4 linked regions of the Stegostoma tigrinum genome follow. The protein of the gene in region 4 binds, or shares a complex with, the protein of the main gene of each other region. Links are inferred from orthologs where the notes say so. Each region holds a gene or a part of one and is shown on either strand. Other genes may lie near its edges.

Region 1 (7,714 bases), on a different chromosome or scaffold from region 4:
TTTATGCAGTACCTTTCACAATGTTATGTTATCCCAAAGCATATTGCAGCCATTGAGTACTTTTTCAATGTAGGCACTGTCTGCACAGCAAACATAGAATTTCCAGCACAGAAACAAGCCACTAGGACTAACTTTTGTATGATGCTGTCCATCAGAAACTCCCTCCTGGCTCCCTCAGTCCCTATCGAACCTATCAAAGCATTTTGTGTACCCTCACATACTAACCTAGTGTCCTCCAGATCATTGTGTTCCATCTCCACTACTGTTTGTGGTGGCATGTTCTACAATCTAATTACCCTCTGAATATATAAGTTTCTTCTGAATTGCTTTCTGCATCAGTTAGTTACTATCTCACATTCATAATGCCTACTTTGAATAAGGACAATTTTGTTCAATGTAAAACTGTTCCCTCAATGGATTCACATATCAATTGGATCCATTTCATTGGTCAATAAGGGCTAACTGATAAGCTTAAAATTAATTGTTCAAAAAAAATGGAATACAACAGTAACCTTGGTAATCTGTAGTTTCTTCTTCAAGGTCACCCTACATGTTCAAAGAAATCATAAACTGATACAGTATAAATTTAGGAAGAGATTTGTTATTGGAAGAAGGATTAATCTAATTTTTAGATCAAATTTTAATGGCTTATTTTCCTATGAGAGTAATTTCTGTTTGGAGAGTTGGATCAACACACAAACTAATGTATTAAAATAATTGGATAAAACCAGATAATCTTACTGACACAGTCTAAAGACTGAAATAAAAACAGAAATTGCTGGAGAACAGCAGATCTGGCAGCATCTGTGGACAGAAAGCAGAATTAACAACTGAATCCAACAACGCTTCTTCTCTCCACAGATGCTGCCAGATCTGCTGATTTTGTCCAGCAATTTCTATTTTTGTTTCAGACTTCCAGCATCCACAGTTCTTTGCTTTAATTAAGGGCTAAAATCTGCCGAGGAAGACTCTGTCCACTGTATTAATTCCTCCGTCTCGGTTGTTTCAATTTTGTTGACTCCTCTTCGTTCATAAAATGTTTTAATTAATCTCCAAATGTTTGATTAATCACTCAAAACTATCGCCTAACAGTGACAGCCTGACTGTAAGTGTCCTACAGTAATCCAGCAGCGGCAGGCCTGCTGAAATTAAAGACATCCAAGATGGACCTGCAAAAAACTTTAAATGATCTGGGGTTTAAATTCTCTAACATTAATTCCCCTCAAACACCCCACCTCCCAATTAGCCCAACAAAAGGACAAGTGCCTAGTAGTCACAAATAGTAATGCATCTCTATTGTTCCAATGGGCGAAGTAAGTCCGATGGTGACTGTGCTGACCGAAAGAAACTGCCCAGGTAAAGCAGACGAAAATGAGTTGGGGGTGCTCCTAATTAGGGGGACAGCAACATGCTCTGTGGCCGATCTCGCCATTCCTGTCCATCCCGTAAGGTGTCGCTGTTCGACACTGGGAGGCACGGCTGGCTTGGATACAGTTTCCATTGAAAATTGTCAATCTGCTGGTTACGTTTCTGTTCTTAGAAATGAGGAACAAGTGGAGGGGAGAGAGAGAGAAACACAGAAAACAAGCAGAGCGGGAACCGTTCGCTGTGCAATTTAAATCAGATCACTCCAGCAATTATAACACACAAGAGGCAATCATAACATCACCACCCCTTTAATATGCAACTAGCAAACCACAAATATTCTTCCCAAACACAACACGAAAACTTTATTCTGATGTTGGATAATCATACAACCGCGGGTGATTTACAAATGTCATCTCCGCCAATACACATCAGGAGCATAGTTTGATGTGTGTCATTCTTGTCTATAAAACAATTGTCCCTTTAACGTTTAATTTTACAAATAGAGAGAAAAAAATGTTAAATTTAACCTTTAGAGGCCTTGCTACAAATAGAAAACGCGCCAGGAAATTGCACGCCCTTCCCCGTTCCACAAGTTGCAAAAATGCAACATTTGCACCAGTTTCCGCGAAGGCTCTGTAAAGACTGACAAGTTGCCCGTTCAAATAATTTCGGACGAGGCCACATTCCGATCCATTTGCAAACCGGGTGGGGACTTGACTGCGGTGGGGAAAAGCTGCAAGAAATTGTTACAGCTGGGGTGGAAAGAAAAAGGGGGGAAATAGACTACCAAAAATAAATGCAAACCACGATCTTTAAAAAGGCTGGAGATAATTACATATAAAAACCCACACACACACAAGACTGAGAGATCGCGTTAAAATTGACGGGAATATACCGAAATGCGTGTTATCCTGGATAGCAGTCAGACCGGTTTTGTTATCATTATTGCTAGACTGCTGTATTTACAGAAATCACAAGCTGCGCGCCTCTTCTGTCACTTACTCACTCCGGGTGAGACTGAACTTGCAGCCCCGCTCTCCCTTCGCTTACCTCGGCCGCTGCATGTAACTGTTGTCCGGCTGATGTGATGACAGCTCCCGGTCCTTCCTCCACTTTACTCAAAGCCCCTGAGCTGCAGGAAAGGGAAGCTTGGCTTGTGTGAGATTTTTGTTGTTGTGCCTTTTTCAGTTTTGTGTGTGTGTGCGCGTCTGTGCTAGAAAGCTTCCACCTCCAAGATCGTCCCTTTTCTGGCCAACGTTGACCCCATCGGGTCCTGGCTGTCGGAGAGGGGAGGGAGGAGAGGGTTGGTTTGCACACAGCCTGTGATACAGAAGCGGCAGTGAGATGAAGGAATGAGCGACGGAGAGAGACTTTCATCGATATCCACGTGCTAAAAGCTTTGTTAAAATGCAAAGCGGGAGAGAGAGAGAGTGAGAGGAAAGGAAACTGCAGCACGTACTGGGAGTGCAATACACTTATCTAAGACTACTTTGTTTGTATGTGAGAGAGAGTGAGACACGAATAGGAGACAGGGAGATGGGAATGAATTTTAAAACATTACAGACTGACAAACACAGCAAGAGGAAAATTATAATGTTCACTTAGATGGATTCACACACACACACACTTACAGTGGCATCGACAAAATTCCCGCGTGGGTGTAGCCGATTTTCCACTTGTTAAATTTGACAATAGGATCAAGTTTTTTTTTAAAGGGGAAAAGCTTCTTTATTTTTGAAGGATACGCCTTTGAAGAAATTCAAACACTGAGCGGAAAATGCGTTATGTGAAAAAAAATAATCAATATATTGATATCAGTTTCTTAGACCCCATTATCAACTAATGATTTTTCCAAATGAGATGATTAATTGTTGCGACTGGGTGTTGGTGCCTACTCAGCCGGTTGGTCCAGAATTGTGACATGTCTTAATTTCATTACATTTTATTTTTAAAAGCGTCAGTTGGCATTTCAGGAATGTAGGAATCAGAGTAGAGCCCCTGCAAGTCACACTTGATCCTGACTTTGAGATATATTCGTCATTCTTTAATTATCACTGGATCAAAATCCTGGTACTCCCTTGTGGATGTCTCTGCAACCCCTAATAACTGCATTGGGTCAAGTAGGCAATTTAATGCCACCTCCTCCAGAATTAATAGGAGAAGGTCCAGCCAATGATGCTCATATGCCATAAGTTATTTTTAAAAATAAAATCGGCCTGTGGAGTATGGCCCATTCCACAGAGGGAAGCATTCACTTTGCAAGAAAAGTCTTGCCTTTATATAGTACATTTCACAACCCCAGAAAGCCCCAATTAAAGTACTTCACAGCCAAAGCATTTTTGAAATGTATGTTTATTAACACACTGTACATTGGCAATGCGACTGAGGTACATGTTCCATACTATATTGTGCCAACCTTTTAGAGCTACACTAACACAGGTACCACAATTGTATTGGTGATATTATGGCTTACCTCGAAGGCTCAAGTTCATATTCAATAAATGCTATCTGTCACCATTTTGTGCTATCATTTTAGTCATTATTTCATGTTGATCACTATCATCTGTTGGCCATTATTTTGCACTGGATCACTATCTCATGTTGAATCTCTGCTTTGCATTAGATTACTATTTCGCGTTACTCACTATCTTATCTGGTCAGCGTGGAGAAGCCAAACCAAAGGGTCTGTTTCTGTGCTATATGACTCTATGTTGCATTGGTCATTATCTCATGTTAGATTGCTAGCACGTGTTGCTCTCTATCGCGCGTCGGTCATTGTCTTGCGATACCTTGCTGAAAATTACAAGTGTTAAAGGGATCAGGATTAGGCTGACTTGCGATGGCTGACATTTAATGCATATCTGTTTTGGTGAGTTAGCAAACTAGTCAGTATCCATGGTCCAGACTTTGATTTGACTCTAAGCTGCCAGGAAAAATGGATGACTAAAAGCTTAAGCACACAGCAAAGACCTTGAGAAGGCTTGTCCTTTTGATTTGGAAGTACACAAAGCCAGAGACCCTTTTTTATTAGGCCCTTAATTCCAAACAACAAACTGAATGCTTTTGCTGATGTTATAAAACATGACACCTGAAAAAGATTTGCTTAAAGATCACACTTGCACAGATAACAAAATGTTTATTTTGAACAACATGAGTGTATTACTCTGCCATATTCCTTTCTTAAATGTGATAACACCTTCCAACCCCCTGCCCCCCAAGTGTGATACAATGTTGCCCCATAATGGTAAGCAGTTCCCATCTCTCTCTTCTGCAAACTCTACAATAAATGTATTTATTATCTCCTGGGCTTTATTTCTATGAACAAAACTTTCATTTCCTTTGAGGAATATGACCGAGCTACGTCCTCACCTTCATCAACTTAGTTATCGGGAAAATAACTACCCAATGACTGAAAGTTTTTCTTATTAGAAGCCCCACAACTGACCCAAAACATCAGATTTCAGATTCAGGAGACAGTTTAGTCTCTCACTTTGTACATTGTAGATGCCAGAAAACGAAACTGGCTCAAAAGAAATTCAGCAAGTTGACAAGAGAAATTCTAAATAACGAAGTGTGGAGCTGGATGAACAGAGCAGGCCCAGCAGCATCTTAGGAACGCAAAAGCGTTTGTGCTCCTGAGATGCTGCTTGGCCAGTTGTATTCATCCAGCTCCACACTTCGTTATCTCGGATTCTCCAGCATCTGCAGTTCCCATCATCTCTAAGAGAAATTCTAACTCTGTAACTAGCACACACACTTGATCTCAAGTTATCTCACAAGGACAGCTGACTCAGAACTTATGGCTGTAATACCTGAATCCTGTTTATAGCTGGGGGTGGGCGTGGGGTAGTAGGTGCAGGGTACTGGTGGAGAAAAGATGTTGATTGGAGCTGAAGTTACAACATTAGAGACTCTACCTAGTCTAAGGGACTATAAAACTATAACTCCAATGTTCAGCACACCTTTGAAGTATTACCGACTCTTCATTTTCACAATGGACTGCAGAGATTATAACCCTGATTCTTGCTGAAGGTCAGGCTATAACTTGAAAGATCTGATTCTATCGATGGACTTGTAAAATTGGTACAGCATGAATTCCAACTTTCATTGCCATCTGAGGCAAGTCTCTGCACTGAAATTGGCACCTTCCTCAAAGCTGCCTTGTTTTTAGTTTTGTGGCAAATTTGTGCTCAGCTATTTGGAATGGATTGTTTAACAAAGCACTGGGGGGAGGGGGGTCCAGGGGAGGAGTTATTTTCTTTGACAAGCAATGGAGGACAAACATGCATGAGTTTAACAAAGGATACAAAAGACATAAAAGCATTCATTTCCCGGCACTGATATTGGCAAATCAACTTCATACATGTTGACAGCCACCAAGCACCTCAACTGTCTGTTTATTTTATTTCTTTCATGGCAACAATTGCTGAAACCATGACCCTGGGTGGGAGCACTGTATTGGAAGAGGGAGTATTGCTACAATGATAAAAATGAACGGTTGAGTCTTGAAATCTGTATATGAGGGACTTAGAAATGCAGCATCCCCTTGTACTGGACTATCACAGTAAGGATGTGCTTGAATGAAGTGATTAACTGCACTTTTTTTAGGCAAAGTGGTGGGGAGGGTGCATTGACTAACAGCTTTATTTGACACATGCATAGTAACAAGACTAACATGGTTTGAATGTCATGCATTCATAAAATACTTGGCTAAATATTATTAATTAACAGTTTACATTTCAGGCAAAATAGTTTAAGTCTGCCACAGTATCAAAGCAGTAACGAGAATCCCCTTGATTACAGGTTCAATGTTTAAATGGCTTAGCAAGGTTACATTTGTAGCTTGTTATTCAAGGTATCATTAATAAGCTTGCACTTGGGATCAGGCTGTTCTCTGTATTTTAGATGCAGGCACACTACCTTATTTGTTCAGTAGATTAGCATCCCATGTGTAACTTCAGCTGGAGTCCTCAGCTTCACTTCTAAGGCTGTCCGTGGTCAGTTATTGTCTGCTAGCCATCGTTTTCTTCAGTCACCTTCTAGGCTGAGTTTAGACAACTTCAGACTTCTGGCAATTGTTCTAGCATTATAGAACTGTGCACTGTGATGATGCACACCATTAGTTTGTTGCTTTTAAGTTAAAACGCTTCAGCTTTCTTGAACTTCTAACTTTTACTTACAAAACTTTCTTGCTTGTATCCAAAACTCTTACCGGTTCTCGTTAACATTCTTTCTTTTTCTAAGGCATTTCACATCTTCTATCTGGAGATGAAATTATTTGTGACCACGTAAGATGATTCACTGAAAACAACAAATGCTGGAGATCACAGCAGGTCAGACAGCATCCATGGAGAGAGAGCAAGTTAACATTTTGAGTCTAGATGACTCTTCATCAGAGCTGAAGTGTGGGAGTGGGGGAGGGGTGTTGTGGGGCATCAGCATTTATGCTATAGTTTGGCATTGGGGGGGTGTGAGATCTTGGTGGAGAAAAGATGTTGTTAGTTCAGATTAAGTGATTGGAATGTGAGAACGGCAGAACAATGGTGTGTCTCCAGCCAGACTTTAAAGGACAGACAGTCCTACTAGGATGGTGGGGGGGCGGGGGGGGGGGGGGGGGGAGGCGGTGAAGAGGACATGATAACAGAATGTAACAAGCTAAAAGGTAAGAAATGGTTCATAATTTGAAGATGTTAAACTCAGTATTGAATCCAGAAGGCTGTGAAGTACCTAGACCGAAGATGAGATGTTGTTTCACTGCTGTGATTCGCTGGAACTCTGCAGCATTTCTAGGATTCACAGTGTCACTTGGATTCTGTTAGGCGTATGCTTGTCAGGACTAATAACGGTATTATTTTAGTTAGTTTAATGAAGGCCATGCTTTTGACTAAATCCATTATTGTTTTCCTCTCCTAACACCTAAACTAAGATGACAAGACACCCCAATTTGACAGAAATCATTTTTTATAATTCTCCTATCAACTTAGATAGAATGACCCATTCATTGGGGTCATACAGATGGCATGGTGGCTCAGTGGTTAGCACTGCTGCCTCACAATGCCAGGGAGCCAGGCTTGATTCTGGGTAATTGTCTGTATGGAGCTTGCACAGTCTCCCTGTGTCTGTGTGGGTTTCCTCCCGCAGCCCAAAGATGTGCAGGCTTAGCGAATTAGCCATGGGAAATGTAGGGTTACAGTACTTTGGGGTGGGGGTGTGGTAGTGGCGATGTGGTGGAATACTCTTCAGAGGTTTGGTGTGGGCTGAATGGCATGCTTCTACACTGTTGGCATTCCAAGATTCAGCTTGGTGACCTTAAGGTTGAATGTCTATCAATGCCAATACTCCACTG
Region 2 (7,941 bases), on a different chromosome or scaffold from region 4:
GTACATAATAAAGGAGATTTTTTTCTTATTTGAAAGGGCACAGTTTTGACGTCAACCCACAAAAGGTAATATTTGTCCATTCCAAAACTAAGGCCACTGACATTCATATAACAAAGTGTGAAGCTGGATGAACACAGCAGGCTAAGCAGCATCTTAGGAGCAGGAAAGCTGACGTTTCAGGCCGAGACCCTTCATCAGGCCCGAACCGTCAGCTTTCCTGCTCGGCCTGCTGTGTTCATCCAGCTCCACAACTTGTTATCTCGGATTCACCAGCATTTGCAGTTCCTACTATCTCTGACATTCATCATATTCAATGCTTTGAAAAGATTCATCTTTACTGTAAGAACATTTTAGGGCGATTTTGTTTTACTACATTCTTCGTTGAGGCACAAAATGTCTTTCAGAACACATATTCTAGGAACAAAATGAGGCTGAGTAAAGTTTTGAATTCCCAATGACAGTTTGACTAAGCAGCTAAACATTAAACTTGTTTCAGCTACCACAGTTCAAGAGCTATTTCCAGTCAAGTTAACCAGTGTCTCAAATTCACAAATGATCATCTTCAATAAGAAAAAGTACAGAGTAATAGAACTACTATATAATTTGGAATGACGATATCCCATACCACAGTGAGGCACATATGGACACAGAATTCACAATACAGAAATAAACCATTCAGGAAAACTGGTCAACGCTAGCATGTGTACTCTACATGTACCGACTGTCTTCATCTAACCTTCTCAGAACATCAGTTAAATGCAGCTCGAACTACATATTTTGTCCTTCTTTGAGAAAGTTTCTGATTTAGTATAAAAGGGAAAAACTGCAATCTATTCAAAATAAAAACGAAAAGAGCTGCAGAAGCTTTAAATCAGGAACAAAAACAAAGTTGCTGGAAAAGCTCAGCAGGTCTGGCAGCATCTGTGGAGGAGAAAACAGTTAACATTTCGGGTCTAGTGACCCTTCCTCAGAACTCAGAACGTGTTCTGAGGAAGGGTCATCAGATCGAAACGTTAACTGTCTTCTCCTCCACAGATGCTGCCAGACTTGCTGAGCTTTCCAGCAACTTGGTTTTTCTATTCAGTTTATTCCATTTAGGATGCGATAGTCATGCATCATTTCATTTCATATCAGAGACATTATTTCTATTGCTAAAGTATTTGCACAAATAATAAAAAAATCCAGTCTCGCAGTTGTTCCTCTTTGAAGTGCCTAAAATTAAGAGGGAACCAATCTCTCATCAAGACTGTTTGAACTGTAAAACAAAGCTTCACTGCTAAACAATCAGGTTAACACAGTTTGCTTTCAGACAAGGTAGATAACAGACAGGACATCCATTCATACTACCACAGCAAGTCAAACAAAGCATTGGAATGGTTCTAGAAAGACCTCACCTTGGATGTTTTCCCCCCAATCTCCCATTTCCGTCTCCAAAATGTAGCCGATAATAGTGCAATCTAAACTTTTTTTTAAACACCAATAACTTATCTAGGTCTTGTTTGCAGTAGCATTGAAATATTAAGCTTAAAAACACCACAATATTTTATGTAATAAATTACAATCAATCATTCTCATGGCATCATTATGACACAACAGGATGCTATTCAACCTATCAAGTCTTTTGTCAGCTCTCTTGAGCAATCCAGTGAGTCCCCTTCCCTGTAGCCCTGCAAGTTTACTTAACTCAACTACACATAAATGACAATTTTGTTTAGAAATTAATGCTTTCCACTACCCTTGCCACAAAGAGCTAAGTCCTTCCTCACATCCCTCCACACAACTTGTTTGTAACTGTAAATCTGTGTGCCCTATTCTTTATATAATCAGCAGATTGGAACAACTTCTGTCATTATGTATCTCTGTCTACAATAGCTGTCATAATCTTGAACATGTCTTTCAAATCCCGAATTTCCTGAGTTCCAAAGAGAACAACCAAAAACTCCAACCTAACCCTTAAAGCACAGAACAACCAGAACAAATCATCTTTAGTAGTACTGCTGTAGATTACTCTGAAGTTAAGCCACTGATTTTTGCAGGGATAGGGCAACTAGCAATGCTCATCATAGCCCCATAAAATTCCTCTACCTTCTCAGTATGCCACTCTGATTGCCCCATTAAACATATATTTCTATCTAGGTTACATGAAGCTGCAAGATTTCCACCACATCTGACTAACTGGTTGCAGGTCAATGTTTCTCGAGTGCTGAAAAGGTGTTTGACTAAATGAATAAGTTCTACAAAGATGGTTTGGATCCCTTGCTAGTACCTCTATTTCTTTACCTGGATTATATATTACAATTGCCTCCTTAGTCTTCTAAGTGACACAATTAAATAACTAATCATGGTAGGATTGTGGGATCCAAGGCTAAGGGCAGGTTGGGTGAAACAATTCGCTAAGTGGCAGGTGCTTTAGTAACTAGATGGTTCCAGTGGGATTCGCTGAAAGTCAGCAGTGTGCTCCTTGCTGTGTGTAATAATTACGCCCTTTAAGCCATTGATATTACAAGGAACCTGCAAATGACATGAAAGCTGGCCATGCGGTTGATAGCAAGGAAGAAGGAAGAGGTCAAAGAACTGGTCAGGTGAAGAGAAAACTGACAAATGAGATTCAGTCCAGAGAAGTACGTGCCATACACTTGGTGTGGTGGGGTCATGACAAACAAGGCAAGTGAAATGAAATAAACAGTAAGATTATGAAGGACATAGGAGGAAGTGAATGTCACTGGAGTTTACAACTACTGAAGGTAGCACAGCAAGTAGATTAGGTGGTCAAGGCAGCAGATAGAATACTCTATTTCACAAAAGCAACAAGATCCTAGTAGAGCTGCATGAAATACTAGTTAATTCACATTTAGAATGGGGCACAGAGTTTTGGTCAATGGCCACCATGTTATTGAAAGGATATGACTGAACAAGAAAGAGATTAAAAAATAATACAAACCTTGAGTCTAATGTAAAAGCCAGAAAAAATTTCAAATCTTTGAAATTTATTTTTGCAATGCATCAAGTCTCCATGTAGGATCTGCAATTGCCAAGGGCATGTTTCCAGGATACTGCCTCTTCACAATTGAGAAGACAGATGGATGGCCTGTTCCCAAAAAACTAATATAGCAGAAACCAGCTGTTAGGAAGAGTTCTCCAATATGACAGTAAATGGCGAACTTACTTTTCAGAATTCCATCATTTGAAGATCCACAAGGGAAGTCTTTCAGTTAATCCTTCTCCATTTCAAAGCACAATGCTGTCAGACCAGTATATTTCTTTTCCCATTGAAAAGCCAGTATTTTAGGGTTTTCAGTGGAGCTGCAGAGTTAATGAACAGGACTGATTAGAAGCAATGATATCTGCTAATAAGGACTTTTTCTACTGTGAGTAATTTGCTAGAAAAATGCTAATGATGCAGGATTATTTAAATACTGTTCTACAGATACCAATATTGGTCATTAAAGTATGATTATAATTGATCAAAAGAATATGTAAAATCTTTCCAAATATTCATAAATATGCTGCCATTCTAATGTACATTAATTTTTGATTTAAAGCATTGAGTAATCAGTCTATTACTTGTGATTTTCTTCTTCATTCTTTATCATGTGTATTAAAATACTTTAACTCCTGCTCCACACCTAGCCCTCTCTCAGGCATGGACACCTCATATCCAGTAAGAATGTGTGGATTTTTAGATCAAGGCCTCTCCTTCTAGAAGGCAGCTTGTTATGAGATGCATGTCAACAAGTCACATCAAACTTGCTTATGAAACATTTCCTTTAACAAGCAGACCTTCAAAACGTTTTCCAAAATTTCATGATTTATTTATTTAAACCAGTAACAATGAATAATAAATAATCCTAACAAAAATCAATGATAATGGCCCAGGTTTTGCTCTAGTAAGGCATCTCAATGTGCACTTCAGATGTGTTCACGCACATGTAGGTTTATAAAAGTAACTTGTTCACAGAGATGCTTGAAGTGAAAACTGCTCAGTGATGGCAACGAATAACAAAATAAACAATGTATAACCAGCGAGATTAAAAGGAGTAATAAACAAAAAGAACTGAGTATGAGGGTATATTAGAGTGGGTCAGTTCAATGTCAAATCAAGTATAGAAGAAAACTGAAAGGGAAAGAAAGACCAGATTTAGAGGCCAAAACAGAAACAAGGAAAAAGCAAAAACAAACATCTTATAATTTACATTTTAACATTTTTAGTATCGTTGATAATCTGAAATAAGACTTCACACATTTACTTGCGCATTTGCCGAGTTACTTAAATTTAATGGTGAATTTATGAGTCAAATGTAAAAATAAAGTAACTTTAATTTTGGCAAATGAAAGCTTTATTAATGTGCAGATTGGCCAGCAGCTTGTTAGGAATGAAGACCCCTGCCACATCATTAGCTATTTATCGACTTGCTAATTAGTAACAGACTATATCACTTTTTCTTCAGCAAAGTCTGGGCCAGTAGTCAAATAGATTTTTCTTCCCTTAATTGGTGAACTTAAGTGTGGAAAAAAATTGTACAATAAAAAGCAAAGTATCTCAAACTCACCATTGCTGCTTGAACAAAACGTACTATGTTAGGTAGAAAAATATCAATTAATTTTAACATTTCACAGATAGCAACCAAGGGAACGGATTAGCTTGAAGCTCTTCTACTTGTGGGAAAAATGGGAGGATGCCTTTTTCCTCCACAAACAATAACTCTTGAATGAAAGTCTCTACAATTGCATGTTATCTTCTCCCACAATTTGTCAAGTTGCCATTGGTTACAGATATTGGAAGTGGTTCTCATTCAGAAAAATTTCAGAAATATTCTCTACTCTGTATTTAATTCAATGATGGCTCAAGATTCTTCTTAAAGCAAATATGTTTTGTATAAAAGGGAATGACAGTCAAGATGCAGTTGAGGTAGACTAGTCACCAACTCCAAATGCCTGACTATTGTTGAATACCTTCTTGGGTGTCCTGTTAAGTCAAACTTGGTAACCACTCTGCAATGTTAGGTTGCTTCAAAGTCAATCTAATACAAATATGGCATCTCAACTGACACACACGAGCATGAATAGAACAGACACAAAATGACAAAGCTGAAGTCATCGTGAACTGTATATTTCTGAATACGGGCACCCTATTGCTTCAAGGTACGCAGGTAGAGCAGAAATGGATAATCACCAGGCCGGAAAGAAAGACAAACCAGTGTTGCTGAAGTCCTGGATTGTATCTCACTCTCCATTGTTCACAACTGAATATTGGTTGATGACAGCAATGATTTAATCAGGGCAGTTGGGTACGTCTGGGCCATAGGCACTACTCCAAGATTTGTGTGATCTCCCCAGTGCCCCGCGAAAACGTCACAGAGTGGCAGTAAACCGCACTTGTGAAGATGAACAGCCAGTGCTATGTTCATGTCAGTACCAATGACAGGATGAACGACTCTGAAGAAACAAAATACAGGACATTTCACTGACAGGACGGGTGGGGCAATTAGGTATGCTAGTGGAACAGGAGACGACGTAGGGCAAGTAAAGGACTGTTAGTAGAATGGTACATCCTAGGCAGGCACCTGCACCTTCCAGCTTTGACTTAACTACCCCACCTAAGTCATGGTCCATCTGAACATGAGGTTAAAATTCAGGATCCATGATTACTTTCCTCCAGTCTTCTCTCTCCACTCATCCATCAAACAAGATGAAGACTGCCAATTTCAAGTTCTACCTTGGTTGCCAGTCCAAACCAGCTCCAGGCAGACCTCAAGTCATGGCCAAATAGGTTAAGAGTACAGTAACCCAAAAGATAAACCAGCAGTATCAAGAGGAGACATCTGAATAGTCTCCCAGTTGCTGTCAAACGAGCAGGGGACAAATGACATCCCTAGCAGAAAGGGTACTGGATCCTGATCTGGCCCAGATAAACCGAAACCTAAGATCGGCAGGCAAAACTGAACCACAGACGGGCAACCATTAAAGCAGAGATCGTTGAGTACAATCAAACCATATTTTTAACGACAGAAAGGACAAACAAATCCACAACTCCCAGGTCGACGAGATAGAGGACAGATGTGATACTATCTTTATACATTGCTGAAAAGAAACTACAAGTTGTAACTTTTCATCTTGAGGATCAGAACTAGGACACAAGAAAGGGATTCAAGAACAGCTCTGTCAGTCTTATCATCCCCAGACATGGTAGGTAAATTCCTTTTGAAACTATTTCTTTTGAGACACTGAAAGAATCCAGGCCAGCGATATCGCCACTACTTCACTCTCACCTAAAATGTTGAGAGTATGGAGGTTGATTTGGTGTATATGCATTTCAAAAACAAGTTTGATGAACAGCCATACAACAGGCTTGTCAGCAAAGTGTAAAAGGACAGTGCAGCAAGAGGAGAAAAAGTGTCCCAAATGTCAGCATGTAGAGGTGAACGGCCAGTTTTTTTTGAACTGGAGGAAAATAAAGTATATCATGTGGCTTCTCAGGGGTCAGTACTAGGTTTTGTTATTCCGTATTAAAGGGCCAGACCTGGGTGTACACAGCACAAATTCAAAAGCTACGAATGACAGTGAGGAACAATGAGGAAAATAACAATAGCCTTCCTGACAAGAGAAATAAGCTTGGAATGGGTGGACAAGTGGAAGATAACATTTTCATGCAAAAAAAGTTTGAAGTGATATATTTTTGGCAAGAAAATCAAGATCAGGTGCTATAAACCAAAAGTGGGGTAATTCAAAACTAGGGGACATATTTTTAAGATGAGGGGAGAAAGATTGAAAAAGTAGCTGAGGGGCATCTCTTACACACAGAGGGTGGTTCATATGTGGAATGAACTGCCAGATGAAGTTATAGATGCAGGTATAGTTAGAACATTGAAAACATTTGGACTGGAATATAAATAGGCAAGGCTAAAAGGAATATGGGCCACACGTAGATAGGTGGGACTAGTTTAATTTGGGAGACTTGGTTATAATGGACGAGTTGGACGTGTTTCCCTGCTGTATGATTCTATTATTCAATGACAATGTTCTCTGGAAATTTTACATTCCATCTGTCAACAAGGGGGAAAGGATGTGTTCCTAAAATAAATGTATATGCACTTAAATCTGAACACTATGGCAAATTTGTAATTATTAAAGCATTCAATTGTGATCACATGCTTTCAACTGTCCATCCCCTTATCCTGCTCCAACCCCATTTTCATCATCAGTCCTGAAGAATAGTAATACCCAAAACATTGAATGCTCCTCTCCTCCAGACGCTGCCTGGCTTGCAAAGTTCTTCCAGATGTTCAGTTATTTAAAAATAGCATACTTCCATCAGCTTGTCATGCTTCAATTCCTCCTGTTTGTGTACCTTGGATTCCAGCATCTGCAGTTTTTTGGTCTCTTTTTGGACTTACATGACAGATTTCTAATTATTAAAGCATGCAGTTATCATCACGTGCTTTCAACTGTCTGTCCCCTCATCCTGCCTCCAAATCTATTTTCACTATTTCCTTGGTCAGTACATAGGGAGTTAATACGAATCAGTGAAAACAAACCTATAAAAGATCGGGTTTCAGGATGAATTTTTGACTTTAAAGCAACCTCAACTGCTTTGAAATGTGGAACAAAGAAAAGCATGTATATTTTACAAATGTTCTTTCCAAAATATCCAATTGCTTCATCCAGATTCTTACTAGCAATTTTAATCACTTGTATTAAGCATAGTAATAATTAAAACATGGCTTTAGTAACAATCTGTTTTCCAAAATAGTCTAACAGCGCCTTTCAACTTTTTCTAAAACAATACACGACAGCATAGTCAGTGGCTTTACCTCTAAGTACTGGCAGCAGGAATGCAGCTAATGTTTACACAAGAAATATTATTAACAAAGTAAGTAATTTGAAAATTTATGAGTAACACACGAATGAATATAGTCTTGATTTGAGGGTAGAACTTTAGAA
Region 3 (7,735 bases), on a different chromosome or scaffold from region 4:
AGCCGCGTTCAAGTCTGTTAGCGAGCACCACTTATAACAGTTACAGTGTTTGGGCTTGCTGGAGATTGGAAAAACGCCGAGGGAGCAGACAGAGCAAAGCGCTCCTATCAGTTGCCTATTCCATTCCGTGCTGTTCCCCACTCCTTATCCATTTAGTTCAGTGAAAGCGGCCTGTAAAGTTTCAACACCATTTCTTAGCAAGTAAGTTCGAGACAAGGCTGCATCGCTGTATAAATATCTGTGTTTGTGTGCGAGGGGGGGAGGGGTAGCCCACTCAGATGCCCAGACAACGTGTCCCCAATCCTGCTGGACACATTCCAAATTAAAAACATCTTTTTGATTTGTTTGTTTTTTCAGTAGTCTGACTTTTTTTCACCTGTTTATGCCGGGATCTCCGCAGACCTGCCCCGAGATTCCCCCTTCCAGGATGGACGCTGCAATTATTCTATTCCCCAAATTTTAAACCAAAGGTTTTACAACTGAATGGGCTTTGAAACAATACCGTTATCTTGTACAAAACGAACCTCTTTGTACAGTTTATTGCAACTGATGTTAAGTTCCTTGGACAGCGTTTATTTGATAAATGAACTACGAACCAGCTTCACATGCGATTTTATAGTGAACACATCTTCCGTGACTGGAATCTAGGCACCGTTTGTAACTGTTCATTACCTGTGATCTCGTTTAGAAAACCGTGTGGGGGACACAGTCACTTAAAGTTTGTTAAAGCTGCAGATGGAACAGTTAGTACACATTCCCGACAAGGCGGCTTGTGAAGGGTGCAGGGACGGGACGTTTCAAAGGCAGCTCCGAATGACTGAAATGATGAAGGGCTGCCTCCGCTCGGATAGATCATGAAGACTGTTCTATTCTTTTGCACAGAAGCACTCTCTCGCACCCAAAGAAGCCAAGGCTCTGAATGCTGTCAGATGTCCAAACTTTTTTGTTTCAAAGATGAGATTTTATTGCTAAAAACATTGAACCATTATATTTACATTGATATGTTTTGTTTTAGAAATAATATTCAAGTAAACATTTCCAAATGTCACGGTATCATCTACATTTATATCAACAAACGTTAAAGTAATAAATAATTGGACACAAGATTTTACTCTTCTACACTCCTATATTGTATTGGAAAGCTGAGATTTCACTCTGTAATATCTTCACCTCAACTTTTTTTATAATAATTATTATTATTTTACAAAAAAAAACTAGGCACATGGCATTAAAGGCAGTTATTAGGATTCAGTGAATGGAAACCCAGGCTAGACTTGTTCGGAGTTGCTGCTAGTTCTCAAAGTCAGCGATCAGGGCCCGCAGTGTGACTGCGAATATCCCTTCCATCTGAGTGGAGCTTCATTATGGTCCGTCAATTTTCCCCAACCCACCCTCACCCACCTCCCCCCAAAAAAAACCATGATTTTCTGCAACGTTAAATCTCATTGTGTTATATAGATACAAAGCTGGCGCTTCTTTAGAATGCGATATATAAAAATAGATTTCACTATAGGGCGCTGTTATACTATAGACCATCTGTATATAGGATTCACCCAGTCTGCATGAGAACATTTCTCCCTTTAACAGGAACACTTGCACTCGGAAATGACTGGGTATTGTACAGGTATCCACGTGCAGTACTTGGGTTTTGACCATCCTTGGCAATACCACCTTAAGAAAGTCTTGCTAATCGATTTGACAGGTTTACACAGCATCCCTTCGGGGAATGAACAGGACCTCTCGTTGTAACAGTTGCCTTCTTTAACAAACCGTGGCCAGAAGCGGCCTCCCAGGTCCTTCCATGTGTACATCACCGGACAGTATGTGTAGGACCAAAGCCATTGCTGGAACTTCCTTCTGGCCTTTTTACCCAACTTCATTTTCCTCCCATAAGGGGTCTCGGACAAATCCAACCTCTTGATGTCGTTGGGCATGGCGCCCAGAGGTTTGAACCTGGAGTTCGGGTCCCGGGACGGAGAGTCGTCCAGTTGGGGCAGGGTGATGGACATGAAGTTGGGATCGAAGTGACTGCCGAGCTTCTTCCGTAAAGCCCGTTCGTCCAGATCGTTGTCCTTGGGATCGTTGTCTGGGTCCGGGTGTTCGATAATGTCCACCACGGGCAAACTGTCACTGGGGACGGGCCGGAGGTGCAGATAAGGCTGGCAGAGTCCGTGCTGCAGTAGCAACATGCAGAAGCAGCTCAGCATATACTGTGGCAGCTCCATGTTTTAAACGGGCCAGTTCGGCGAGCCCAGAGGTTTATAAATAGGCTGCAAAGCGAGCAGACTGATACTTTTAATAGAACACACTGGGCTTTGAATGACGGGCACGTACAGGACGTGCTGAGGTTTAACTTTGCTGCCGGATTAAGCTGCTGTCTCTCGCAGCCTCTCCCACACTCTCTCACTTTCCACTCTCTCGCCTTCTTTTCCTTCCTCGCTTTTTTTCTTTCCCACCGATCCACCTCCGGAAAGCGAAAAGCACCAGAAAAGCGGCCTTTTTCCAGATTCTTTACCCCGAAATTCACGTCGGCTTGCTGCCTGTCGCCATGGCAACGCCAGGACTCACTGCCACAAGCTGTCTAGACGGGATGACAGGAGCCGGAGTGAGAGGCGGCCCGGAGCCCGGGAGAGAGCGCGGCGGCTCCGGCCCAGGGCGGCCCGCTTCCTGGGCTCCACTCCGGGGCACACGGGCTCGCCCGGCCCCAGCTCTACCGGCAGCGAGATTGTTAGCGCTGATCCCGCTCAGGATCCAGGATTGATCCCGCTGCTGATCCGGGATTGATCCCGGCTTAATCTCGGTGTTGATGCCGGGTTGATCCCGGTGCTGATCCTGGATTGATCCCGGTGCTGATGCCAGGTTGATCCTGAGATGAAGCCGGTGTTGATCCTGGGGAGGCGTCCTGTCTCTGCTCCTTGCCTCCTGTTGCAGCCGGACTGATGCCGAGTCTCCGGCTCCAGGTTAAATATCTGTGTCCCGCAGAGAGGCGAAATCCCGGGTCGGCGCCCCGCTTCTGATTGACACCTTACCCCCGCCCTCCGCCTGCCCCTCCTGCCAGAGCCACCAGCTGCTTAACCCGCACCCTCCCGGCTTCCAAACACCGAGACCCGCAACCTCCCGGCTCCCAAACACCGTAAACCGCACCCTCCCGGCTCCCAAACACCGACACCCGCACCCTCCCGGCTCCCAAACACCGAGATCCGCACCCTCCCGGCTCCCAAACACTGAGACCCGCACCCTCCCAGCTCCCAAACACCGAGACCCGCACCCTCCCGGCTCCCAAACCCCGTAAACCGCACCCTCCCAGCTCCCAAACCCCTTGAACCGCACCCTCCCGGCTCCCAAACACCGAGACCCGCACCCTCCCAGCTCCCAAACCCCGTAAACCGCACCCTCCCGGCTCCCAAACACCGTAAACCGCACCCTCCCGGCTCCCAAACACCGTCACCCGCACCCTCCCAGCTCCCAAACACCGAGACCCGCACCCTCCCGGCTCCCAAACACCGGCACCCGCTCCCTCCCGGCTCCCAAACACTGAGACCCGCACCCTCCAAGCTCCCAAACCCCGTAAACCGCACCCTCCCGGCTCCCAAACACCGAGACCCGCACCCTCCCGGCTCCCAAACACCATCACCCGCACCCTCCCGGCTCCCAAACACCGAGACCCGCACCCTCCCGGCTCCCAAACACCGAGACCCACACCCTCCCGGCTCCCAAACACTGACACCCGCACCCTCCCGGCTCCCAAACACCGAGACCCGCACACTCCCAGCTCCCAAACACTGACTCCCGCACCCTCCCTGCTCCCAAACACCGACACCCGCACCCTCCCGGCTCCCAAACACCGAGACCCGCACCCTCCCGGCTCCCAAACACCAACACCCACACCCTCCCTGCTCCCAAACACCGTGACCCGCACCCTCCCGGCTCCGAAACACCGACACCCGAACTCTCCCGGCTCCCTAACACCATGACCCGCACCCTCCCGGCTCCCAAACACCGAGACCCGCACCCTCCCGTCTCCCAAACACCGTGACCCGCACCCTCCCACCACTAAACCCCCAAACCACACCCTTCTGCCTTGCAAACCCCAGACAATACCCTCCCAGCTCCCAAACCCGCTACCGCTATCTCCCAATCCCCAGAGCACACACATCCCCAGCTCCCAAACTCACACCTCCATCTCCCAAACCTCAGAACACACACACTCCCCCCACCCAAATTCCGAAACCCTCACTGTTTCAACTCTGAAGCATGAAATCTACACCTCCCTAGCTCCTAAACAGCATCCTCTTGGCTCACAACCTTATATCTTCTCAATTTCTAAATATCCAATCCTACATCTTCCTGGTTTCTCAGATCCCCAAACTCACACACTACTGGTGGCCAGAGCCCCCAAGCTACATCGTTTATGTAGCAGAAGCCCAAACCCATCCTGCTTCCCAAACCCCCAAATGTACAGTCTCACCACTCCAAAATCATTCCTTTCTGGGCTCCTAAACACTCTCAATCCTCCTGGCTATCAAAACCCAACCTATACTTTTGCTACTCGAAATCCACATCCTTTTGGCTCCCAAATGTGCAAATCTACAAACTCCAAGCTCCTAAACCCCCAAACCTGAACCTCCTGGCCCCATTAACTGACACTTCCTGTTGTCAAATCCACACACTTTTGTCTCCTAAATAACATTATCCACATTCTCCTTGCTCCCAAACCCCAGCACTGCACTTTCCCAGCATCAGATCCCAAACCCTGCATTCCTGGCCACCAAACTTGCTGCACTCCGGCTCTCAAAACCCCAAATCCCAAAGATGTATACACTTGGCTTTCTGCAGGAGCACAGTGGCTCAGTGATTAGCACTTCTGCCTCTCAGTGCCAGGAACGCAGGTTCAATCCCAGACTTGGGCAACTGTTGTGTGAAGTTCATATGTTCTCTTTGTGTCTGAGTGGGTTTCCTCCAGGTGTTCTGGTTTCTTCCCACAGTCCAAAGATGTGAAGGCTAGGTGAATTGGCCATGCTAAATTATGCAGGCTAGATGAATTAGCCATGGGAAGTGTAGGGTTACAGGGCTAGAATAGAGGTGTGTGTCTGGGTGGGATGCTCGTCAGAGGGTCAGTGTGGATTTGATGGACCAAATGGCCTGCTTCCACTCTGTAATGATTTTATACTTCTGTGAAACACACACAGTCGCACCTTCTGGCTTGAATGCCCCCAAGTCTACAGTCTCCTTGGCTACCAAACTCCAAACCTGCATCATGCCGGCTTACAAAAGCCAAAATGTGCATCTTCATAGCTCTCAAACCCTCAAACTGCCAAAGCCATACCCTTTCGGCTCTCATATCCTAAAGCTCCAGCTTGATAATTCTTGGCTCTTAAACTTAAAAACACATATCCTGCAAGTTTTCAAACTTACACCCTCCTAGGTCGCAGTCACCAGATAAGATAGTACTGGCTCCCAAAGCTCCAAATTTTCCCTTGCCCAACTCCCAAGGCCTAAATCCAGCCACACCCATTTTCTAAGACCCATAAACCCCAATTCCCAAGCATTCAAACCTCCTGGCTGCCAGTTTATTGATTATACCTCCAACTCCTCTGGTTCTAAAACCTACACTTCCTTGGTTCCCAGATTCTCAGGCCTAGATATACCCCACTCAAATTCCCAGACCCAAAAATCTCTCCCCCTGTTCTAGACCCACCACATTCATAACACTCAGAATGCCAGTGCTACAATCTCCCTGCTCCAAAACTGTTCACTTATGGTCCCTAAACCCATACATTTCTGGTACTCAAACCCTCACACCACTTTTCTGCTAGCTCCAGGCACAGATTGATGTGGTGTCCTGGCCTAAGATGCATATTCCAATGTGCCAACCTTACTCACCTCATCTGTGACTGTCTTCTCTTTGGCACCATGAGAGCTGAACCAGCACTGTTACTTTTTGTTTTAGGCACCTGGAAAGTGAGGAATGTGGAGAGTGGCTAGAAGGACTAATACATACAAGCTTTTGAGTGAATTTTGGATAGTCTAATAGAGAGATGCTAGGACATTTCAGTGCTGTGGAATGTGTCTATTGTGCATGTGCAGGAAGCATTATCAACTGGTGCAACTTGAGATTCATGTTTTAGAGTTTTAGCAGCAGTTGGCGTCACTACAATGCATCTGAAAGGCCAAGAATTGTGAGAATAACAAATTTCTGGAGGTGGTCAGCCCACAGTTTAACAATATGAGGCCAAGGGGGAATGGGTTTCTGTCAAGCCATTGAAGATAACGTGGCAGGTAATGCAAGAGTTACCTGAGTGTATCTCACTCTCCATCCTGTATTTAATAGTGCAACTAGAGCTAAGTCCATGTTAGTGTGCTGGCTTAGCTGTAAAGGCATCAGGAAAAGACTACAAAAACAATAATGATAGGGTTTCACATAGATACAGAACATACAGGCATTTCTAAGACTGCAGACATAACTCCAGTATGGCATTTTGCCAGTGTCAAGGTCACTGAGCGGCTATAGACACTCTGAGGATGGAAGGTGAAAAAGCAATGATCATGGTCTATGCAATCTCAATAACATAATTAAAAAGAGGTTTGAGATCCTGCTGACAAATTTTCAGGATCTAGGAATGAAACTTGCAAGCAGTATCTCAGAAGTAGTAAACTACAGATTATACTCACTCCTATATGCTAGTGATTATAGAAATGCAAGGATAAAGCCAATGAATGCATGGCTAGGGGATGGTGGAGGGGGCAGGATTACTGGAACATTAGGACCATTTTAGGGGGAGATGGGGCTTATACATACCACCCAAGTTTCCCCTGAACGAGGCTAGGACCAACATCTTCATAGGGTAATTACGTGGTGCAGAGGGGTGAAATGAACTTGGAAGGGAAATGGGAACCAGCAGGCAACATTCTGAAGGAAAAACAAGGTGCATCAAGAATTAAGACAGACTGTTGAGAAATATTAGGGTATTAAGTGAGGTGTAAGAAATGAGATAATGGGAACTGCAGATGCTGGAGAATTCCAAGATAATAACATGTGAGGCTGGATGAACACAGCAGGCCAAGCAGCATCTCAGGAGCACAAAAGCTGACGTTTCGGGCCTGGACCCTTCATCAGAGAGGGGGATGGGGAGAGAGAACTGGAATAAATAGGGAGAGAGGGGGAGGCGGACCGAAGATGGAGAGTAAAGAAGATAGGTGGAGAGAGTATAGGTGGGGAGGTAGGGAGGGGATAGGTCAGTCCAGGGAAGACGGACAGGTCAAGGAGGTGGGATGAGGTTATTAGGTAGATGGGGGTGCGGCTTGGGGTGGGAGGAAGGGATGGGTGAGAGGAAGAACCAGAGATAATGGGAACTGCAGATGCTGGAGAATTCCAAGATAATAAAATGTGAGGCTGGATGAACACAGCAGGCCAAGCAGCATCTCAGGAGCCTCTCACCCATCCCTTCCTCCCACCCCAAGCCGCACCCCCAGCTACCTACTAACCTCATCCCACCTCCTTGACCTGTCCGTCTTCCCTGGACTGACCTATCCTATCCCTACCTCCCCACCTACACTCTCTCCACCTATCTTCTTTACTCTCCATCTTCGGTCCGCCTCCCCCTCTCTCCCTATTTATTCCAGTTCCCTCTCCCCATCCCCCTCTCTGATGAAGGGTCCAGGCCCGAAACGTCAGCTTTTGTGCTCCTGAGATGCTGCTTGGCCTGCTGTGTTCATCCAGCCTCACATTTTATTA
Region 4 (6,977 bases):
ACACACACACACTTGCTCCTGTGCCCGCGTTACCTTTCCCTTGAACAGGCGCCCCGCTCAGAGAAAGCAGCGGTCCATTCAAACGCGGGCAGCTCCGACTCGGTCCGCGGGCGCTGCCGCCCTTCGCTAGCCCCGTCCCCGGTTCACTCTGGTCCCCCCCTCCCGCAAATCGAGGCGCCGGAGCATCTGGTTTTGAGAGGCGGGAGAGGAAAAGTTCAGGCGATTATTTGTCTCTTCACCGCGGCTGCTTTTTTTTTGTTACATCCAGAAAAAAGGGAGGGAGGGTTGTTGGTAGGAAGGAGGTGAGTTCGGTTCCCTCTCTGACCCTCGTCTCGGTTTATCCCTTCTGAGTCTAGCACCGCCGCGGGACTCCGCCGAGCTATTCCCGTCCAGGGACCAGGAATCGAACCAGTTCCTCTCTGCTCTTCCCTGTGCCCCGCATTTGCTCGCTGCTTATTCCACACTTTCGCTCTCTTCCTCCCTTGCCCGGGTGTTGGGAAGCTCTCCAGAGGGCAGTGCAGCCCTTCACGCCCATCAACAGCAGGCGAAGAGGGGGTCAGAACATTGCTTTCAGATCTCTGTGTCGAAAATACACCCGAAAACGGCGACGGAGTCCAAGCAAATCGTCCGGTTCACTCACAAAGCCCCGGGCAATGAGCGCTATAGGAAAGTCCATCATTTCTTAACACAGTGGCCCATATATATTTATATATACATATATACAGTCACACACAACAAACACACAATCTAGAGTGAGTGAAGGGTTTCATATATATACATATATATATATATATATATTCAGTAAGGTTTTTGTTTAAAACGCTGATTCCCGCTTCTGCTGCATAAGTAATTGAAAGCGGCTTTATATATATACGATCTGCTTGCCGGCTGATGTCACGTCAATGACGCTTGATGCCAATCAAATGCGATAATTGATTCCTGTCACAATCTCGACATTGAGATCAGAGCAAGAGTTTGAATCTTTGACTTGGGTTGGGGGTGGAATAGCACAAAACATTTCTCTGCCAAGAGGATTAACGCCGGGGCAGCAGATTGGACGTTGCGTGATTTTATGTTTTATTTTTTGGTGTGTGTGTGTGTGTGTGTGTGTATGGGTGGGTGGGTGGGTGGGGGAGGCTTGGTGGGATAGAGAAATGGCAACTCAGCGCAGCAAAATATAAATGCCATTTTTTTTGTTAGCCACACGCGCCTCTTTAAAATATCCTTTCACACATACATAGACACCATCGCAGCCCCCACCCCACCCAACGCCCTCCAGACTGGCCCAGTCCAGCGCGCTTTCTGACCCCGGTGTTTATCCAAACCAAATCTACCGATCAATGGGGTCGGTCATTCGAAAGGCCAGATCCCGTTGATAACATAGTTGGGTTCTGCTTGTGAGGGGTGGGGGTTTGGGGCGGGAGAAGTCATCGCAATTAATTGAATTCTGAACTGTCCATTCCGCGCTCCCCTCCCCACAAATAAAAAGATCCGAGGAACACTTCTTAAGGCGATCCAGAATTCAGAAGCCTCTCTGCAGTACGTGTGAGGTTTATTTACTCTTGTTCATGCCGAGATATCATCTCGGCGCTCACAGCAATGGGATTGGGAACTCACGCTGGGACAGACACGGCTGGGCTCTCAGAAATCCACACGTTATAGGAGGTTCCATTCATCCCCAGAGGGTTGGGGGGGGGGGGAGTGGTGAGGGAGGGGTGGGGGTGGGGTGTCGGGAAATTGAGAACGGTGCGCTTTCCCCTCGGTGACAGGACCAAAGTCTGAGAGTTTAGCTCAGACTTCTATTCTTCGGCTGTTTTGTTCTGGTTTGGTTCCCTCAGTGAGGATTTCAAGAAGAGAGGTCACTCAGGGATGCAATGTTGGAAAAGCACTTGCCACTCGCTTTGGGATGTCTTGCCTCCCCCAACACCCCCTGAACGAAACAAGATTTTGGGTCTGATATATGTTCGACAAAGAGAGAGAGAGAGAGAGCCCAGAGCGCCAACTCCTGGTCAACACAGCAAAAGGCCAGAGGGTTGAATTTCCAGCTTGCTTTTACAACGGCTTCTTTGTACAACTCTCTCGGAACGCGAGAGAGAGAGAGAGAGAGAGAGAAGTAAAATCATCCTGAAACTCGGCTCAGCACAGATCGGAATCAGCTCCCTCCTCCCCCTCACAACACTCACCTCCCCCCACCCCCGTGACTTCCCTCCCCTCCGACACACACACGCAACAACCACTTCAATTTACAACTTTAAACCATCAATATATCGAAAACAAAAGTTTTAAAAACAATACAGACCGTACAGGTGTGACGCCGTGCACAGTGGGAAGAGGCAGTCTAAGATCAAGATAAAGTGAAAGAGAGAGAGAAGGAAATTTAAAACCGGCGGCAGAACATGTGTATGACAAGAGAGAATGTAGTAACGATTCTGGGACATGGCTGTGTATTAGGGATGAAAAGATGTGTGTGCTGTATGAAAAATAAAATCAAGTAAAAACAAAGGATGTACTAGGGACGAAATAAAGGTTAAGAGTAATTGTAAGTTTATCAAATAAATCTTGCACCCTCTAATCAAAAGCAGCAATTGGCTCGCTGCAGTTGAACGACTCAAATGACCAAATGAGTGAAATTTCAGATCTTCCCACTCCCCTTTACCTGATGGAGAATGTTGCATTAGACCACGCTGCTGCACCCCAAAACCCGGCTGCTCCTGTCAGCGGGATTTGATGAAAAAGTGCCGAACGGGAAGGAAAGGCGAATCATTTCACTGAGTGAGCAATCCCGGAGAGACCAGAAGTTAATCTTTGCATGTGTGAAACGAAACGCGAGATGAGGCTCCGGGCGCCCGATTTAAAGCATCTCGCAGCAAGTCAGTTCTTCCGAGTGAATGACTTCACAGTCGCTCATGTGAGGGCTCTCTCTCACTCACTCACTCTCTCTCTCTCACTCTTCTCTCTCTCTCACTCACTCACTCACTCCCCTTTAGTGATTCGGCATTGTGGCTGGCATTGGGAATGTTTACAGATATGAAGTGACTCATTCATTTCAGAGACGATCTTCATCTAACGTCATTACATCACAGTGGATTTTTGTATTTTTTTTAGAAAAACAAGGTTCTGTTTAAGAGTGTAAACAGGTTGACTGATGCTGTGTCTGTGACACAGAGAACTTCCTACATACTGTCATAGAGTTTCTCCGTCAGACAGAAAGAGAGAACTGTTGCTTTAAACAAAACTGCTCTCCTCAGCTCCCATTATCACTGCACTCCTCAGCTCCCATTATCACCGCACTCCTCAGACATCCGAGTGGGGTAAGGGGTATATGCATTTACCGCCAGCTATCAGAATTTTCAACAAGGTCCAGTTCACAAACGTCGGGACAAATATGTAAAACCCCACCGAGAGATTGAAATCGCTGTGTGACAGCGAAACCACAATACGCACGTAAAATCCTTAACACACATGGCAATCCTCAATGCACACACCAAATTCATAACATACACACTAATCCATAATACCGATGGCAGGCGGACTGATGTTATGGGTTACACACAACCACAAATGGCTGGAGAAGCTCAAGCAGGTCCGGCAGGGACAGTCAGAACTGCAGATCCTGGAGTCAGAGATAACGCAGTGTGGAGCTGGAGACACGCAGCAGGCCGGGCAGCATCAGAGGAGCAGGAACACTGACGTCTTGTGTCGGGACCCTTCTTCAGCATCTCTGGAGAGAGAAAGTTGAGTTAACGTTTCAAGTCTGGTGACCCTTGTTCAGACCTGCTGAGTTTCTCCAACAAATTCCGCTGTGTGTATTTCCCGATTTTTGTTTTATTTCTGACGTTGTGAATACCCGGTCGTTTTATAATTCAGTCAACATTCGTCAACACATACGTACGTGTGCATTAGACATCTCCCGGGAGCGCCCAGAGAGAACATGCATTGGGATTAATAGAGCTATTTATTAGTCTTATTTATAGCCCTGTTAATTCATACCTCACCTCTGTGCACCGTGACAGATCCAAAAGATCCCAATTCAGCCGTAACATCCAATTGCGCCCCTTCTCCACCACCCACCCCCCCCCCAGCACCCCACCATCTGATCTATCTCATTCCAGACACGGGTACAACATACATGTGTTCTGATTCCCCCTCTCTCCTTGTCCGCTTTAGTTTAAATGCCTCATTTCTCTATTTTGTCTCCTCTTCCTTACGTGCTTTCTAAGTTGTCCTGTTGATTTTTTTTGCTTAGAAAGCTGGCTGGAGAAACTGCCCCTTATTCTTAACCCGAATTTTCATCAATCTCCCCAGAACGCTTTACAAGCCTTTGTTGAGTTCCGCTCTCAGTTTCTGTTTTAAATATCCCGGACAACTTGCCCGCCGCCACTGCTTGTTCATTGAGTGGGTAGAGAGTGGAATCTCCTTGGAGAAGACGGAGAGACAGAAAGGACAGTCTAAAATCCACACTGCAGACGCTGGAAACCTAAGATATACACAAACACAAAAACTGCCTAGCAGGTCAGACAGTAGCCGCGGAGAGAGAAACTGTCAACGTTTCAGGTCTGGGAGCTTTCAGGAAAAGGGATCTAAGGAGTGATCTGATACATCCAGCATCTGCAGTTCCCATTATATCTGATACATCCAGATCTGCTGCAAGTTTGCAACATTTGTGCATCAGACGCTGATTGAATGGGCAAACGCGCCCTCCTCTGCTCCCCAGCGGTTCTGGTCACGAAGCCAGTCCCAGGTACCTTGCAAAGAGAAAGGAGTGAAGCACCGGACCAAGGTTTAAAACAGAAAGAAAAAAGACCACGCGCGGTCAAAGTGGTTTTCATATCTAGCCGGATGTGCGTGTGCCCTTTCAGAAAGACCATTTAAGGGACGTTAACGTTGTCTGAGAAGTGTTAACGTTCTCGAGAGCAGGCTGACTGGTTGTCACTTTTTGTTTGAACACACCGAGATTATATTGTGGTCTTGTATAAGTGAGATGAATTGGAATTATCAGAAACCCTCCGAAAATTCCATGAGTTTATGTGGACGGAGAGATATTTTTGCTGCCTACATTGAATCCTGAAACTCAAGTTGGGTTTTTAAAATTGGACCCAGTTAGAAAATCAAACTCAGCCTTTTCCCAGAAATTCTCTTCATTGATCTTGGTCTTTGGAATGGGACATATTTTGCTGCTATCTTCCTACAAAAATTTTCCTTGATAGGTTGGTCAATAGCAGTAATGCGTTATCTATGGTACTTCACCTTGCATCCTTTAGGGGTGTGTATTAGATGGTGTGCCCAGGAATGGGAAGTGATTCACCTTCCCGATTGTTCTCCAGTGCATAAAGCAGGATTATAACAACATAACTCAGAGATAGCAAGAACTGCCAATGCTGGTGTCAGTGTGGAGCTGGAGGAACACAGCAGGCCATGGTGTGTATATGTTCAGTAGCAAGGTTTAAGTTATGAAGAATTGCTGGATAAGTTGGGACCTTTTTCACTGGAGCTTGGGAGGTTGAGAGGCAACTTGAAGACAATTTCTAAATTAGAAGGGTATAGGTGGAGTTCATAGCAGTTGTCTTTTCCCTGGCATGTGGGATTTTAAAACTAGGAGGACACACTTTTAACGTGGGAGGAAAGAAATTTGGAAAAGATGTGAGGACAATTTTTTTTACACAGACGGTGGTTCCTGTGCGGAATGAACTTCCTGTGGAAGTAGATATGACTGCAATTGCAACGTTTAAAAGACATTTGGATTACGTACATGAATAGGAAAGGTTTGGAGGGATATGGGCCAAATGCAGGCAGGTGGGACTAGTTTAGTTTGGAATTATGTTAGGCATGGAGTAGTTGGACATAAAGTTCTGTTTCCGTACTATATGTCTCTATAACTGGGTGCCCCTCACCACCCAACAACAATGCTGTGTATTTACATAACACTTTGCGCACAGTAAATCATCATGAGATGCTTCTGGAAAGCATAAGCAGATCAAAACAGACACACCACACCAAAGAAGGGGACATTCTGACTGAGAACCAACAGATTCACAAAAAATCAGTTAGTTTCACAAAGGAAAGAAGAGGTAAGGAGGTTGAGAGAGGGAATTCTAGAACATAAGGTGAAAGTCACTGTCGTCAACAATGAGTAATGGAAGGAAAAGATGAAGAGGACGGCAGATTCTTCAGAGACTTTCCAGATTGGAGGAGGCTACAGAGATAATGAGGCTTCGAACAATGATCAGGCACTGCAATAATGTCCTCCATCATCATTAATCCTATATACTCATTGCCTAAGCAAATGTGTGATATATGTGCCCTTGGAAAAGGCATTGGTGAGCATCATAGGCCAGAATACATTGGTTTCTCCAAGCAGGAAGCGAAACTTCCTCCATCATAACACTCCCCTACATCTGATTGAGTTGATGCTACTTTCCCCACACTGGGTATTTGCAGCTTCTTACTCTCTTTGTGATGGTTGGAGCTAGGGAACAAGATCTTGCCTGTCCACTTCTTGAAGCTGCAACAGCTGCTGTTGCTCGGTGTTTTTGCCAAATGCTAGAGGTAAAGTCTAAATTTGACAACAAATCACAACCCTAAATGCTGACAGCTAAGAGGCTGCTTATCTAGGATCAACACAGCAAATTTTAATCAAAATTATTATGGTGCAGATTACTTTTATTGTTGCTTTGAACTGTTCCACTGATCTCAGTCACAGATCGAGCTGATAATGCAAGTTGCAGGAGGTGAGATTCAATCCAGCCAGAACACAGAAGCAGCTTTATTAGTCTGTAAATTGCATTTTCCGGATATTATCCATTTAGATCACCACTTCAACTCAATTGCTTTGGAGAAATTTGACAACAGCAATTTATTTTTTGGAGATTTACTGGTAACCATGTAAAAATGAAAGCAAATCTCTAATTAAAATGATATTTTATATTACTTATGAAGAACTAAGTTTGATTTGCAAACAGCTACTTAGTGTACAACCC

The links.
Region 1: the proteins of bone morphogenetic protein 2-like (region 4) and repulsive guidance molecule A-like are in contact, whole or in part, in a crystal structure (PDB 4UHY), measured with the Homo sapiens proteins. The link is inferred for Stegostoma tigrinum from reciprocal best matches to the Homo sapiens genes BMP2 and RGMA. Residues at the interface, in NP_001191.1 of Homo sapiens: Val308, Gly309, Trp310, Asp312, Trp313, Met371, Tyr373, Leu374, Asp375, Glu376, Lys383, Tyr385, Met388; in NP_064596.2 of Homo sapiens: Arg91, Arg94, Gly95, Leu97, His100, Ser101, His104.
Region 2: the proteins of bone morphogenetic protein 2-like (region 4) and rgmb are in contact, whole or in part, in a crystal structure (PDB 4UI2), measured with the Homo sapiens proteins. The link is inferred for Stegostoma tigrinum from reciprocal best matches to the Homo sapiens genes BMP2 and RGMB. Residues at the interface, in NP_001191.1 of Homo sapiens: Val308, Gly309, Trp310, Trp313, Met371, Tyr373, Leu374, Asp375, Glu376, Tyr385, Met388; in NP_001353437.1 of Homo sapiens: Lys97, Arg100, Gly101, Leu103, His106, Ser107, Leu110.
Region 3: the proteins of bone morphogenetic protein 2-like (region 4) and nog2 are in contact, whole or in part, in a crystal structure (PDB 7AG0), measured with the Homo sapiens proteins. The link is inferred for Stegostoma tigrinum from reciprocal best matches to the Homo sapiens genes BMP2 and NOG. Residues at the interface, in NP_001191.1 of Homo sapiens: Trp310, Asp312, Trp313, Val315, Ala316, Pro317, Pro318, Gly319, Tyr320, Ala368, Ile369, Ser370, Met371, Leu372, Tyr373, Lys379, Val380, Val381, Leu382, Lys383, Asn384, Tyr385, Gln386, Met388; in NP_005441.1 of Homo sapiens: Ile33, Arg34, Pro35, Ala36, Pro37, Ser38, Asp39, Asn40, Pro42, Leu43, Val44, Asp45, Leu46, Ile47, His49, His199, Arg204, Arg206, Pro219, Ile220, Gln221, Tyr222, Pro223.

The regions. Positions count from the first base shown.
Region 1 is NC_081386.1:27,106,844-27,114,557, reverse strand, and holds the start of repulsive guidance molecule A-like, read right to left. Parts: upstream 3,007-7,714; 5' UTR 2,746-3,006; coding exon 2,419-2,745; intron 1-2,418.
Region 2 is NC_081356.1:86,607,225-86,615,165, forward strand, and holds the start of rgmb (RGM domain family member B), read right to left. Parts: upstream 3,009-7,941; 5' UTR 3,005-3,008; coding exon 2,942-3,004; intron 1-2,941. UniProt on the Homo sapiens protein: Member of the repulsive guidance molecule (RGM) family that contributes to the patterning of the developing nervous system. Acts as a bone morphogenetic protein (BMP) coreceptor that potentiates BMP signaling. Promotes neuronal adhesion.
Region 3 is NC_081376.1:30,147,222-30,154,956, forward strand, and holds the start of nog2 (noggin-2), read right to left. Parts: upstream 3,018-7,735; 5' UTR 2,226-3,017; coding exon 1,581-2,225; 3' UTR 1-1,580. UniProt on the Homo sapiens protein: Inhibitor of bone morphogenetic proteins (BMP) signaling which is required for growth and patterning of the neural tube and somite. Essential for cartilage morphogenesis and joint formation.
Region 4 is NC_081362.1:10,208,321-10,215,297, forward strand, and holds the start of bone morphogenetic protein 2-like, read right to left. Parts: upstream 3,015-6,977; 5' UTR 2,657-3,014; intron 828-2,656; exon of another isoform or gene 34-827; intron 1-33. UniProt on the Homo sapiens protein: Growth factor of the TGF-beta superfamily that plays essential roles in many developmental processes, including cardiogenesis, neurogenesis, and osteogenesis. Induces cartilage and bone formation.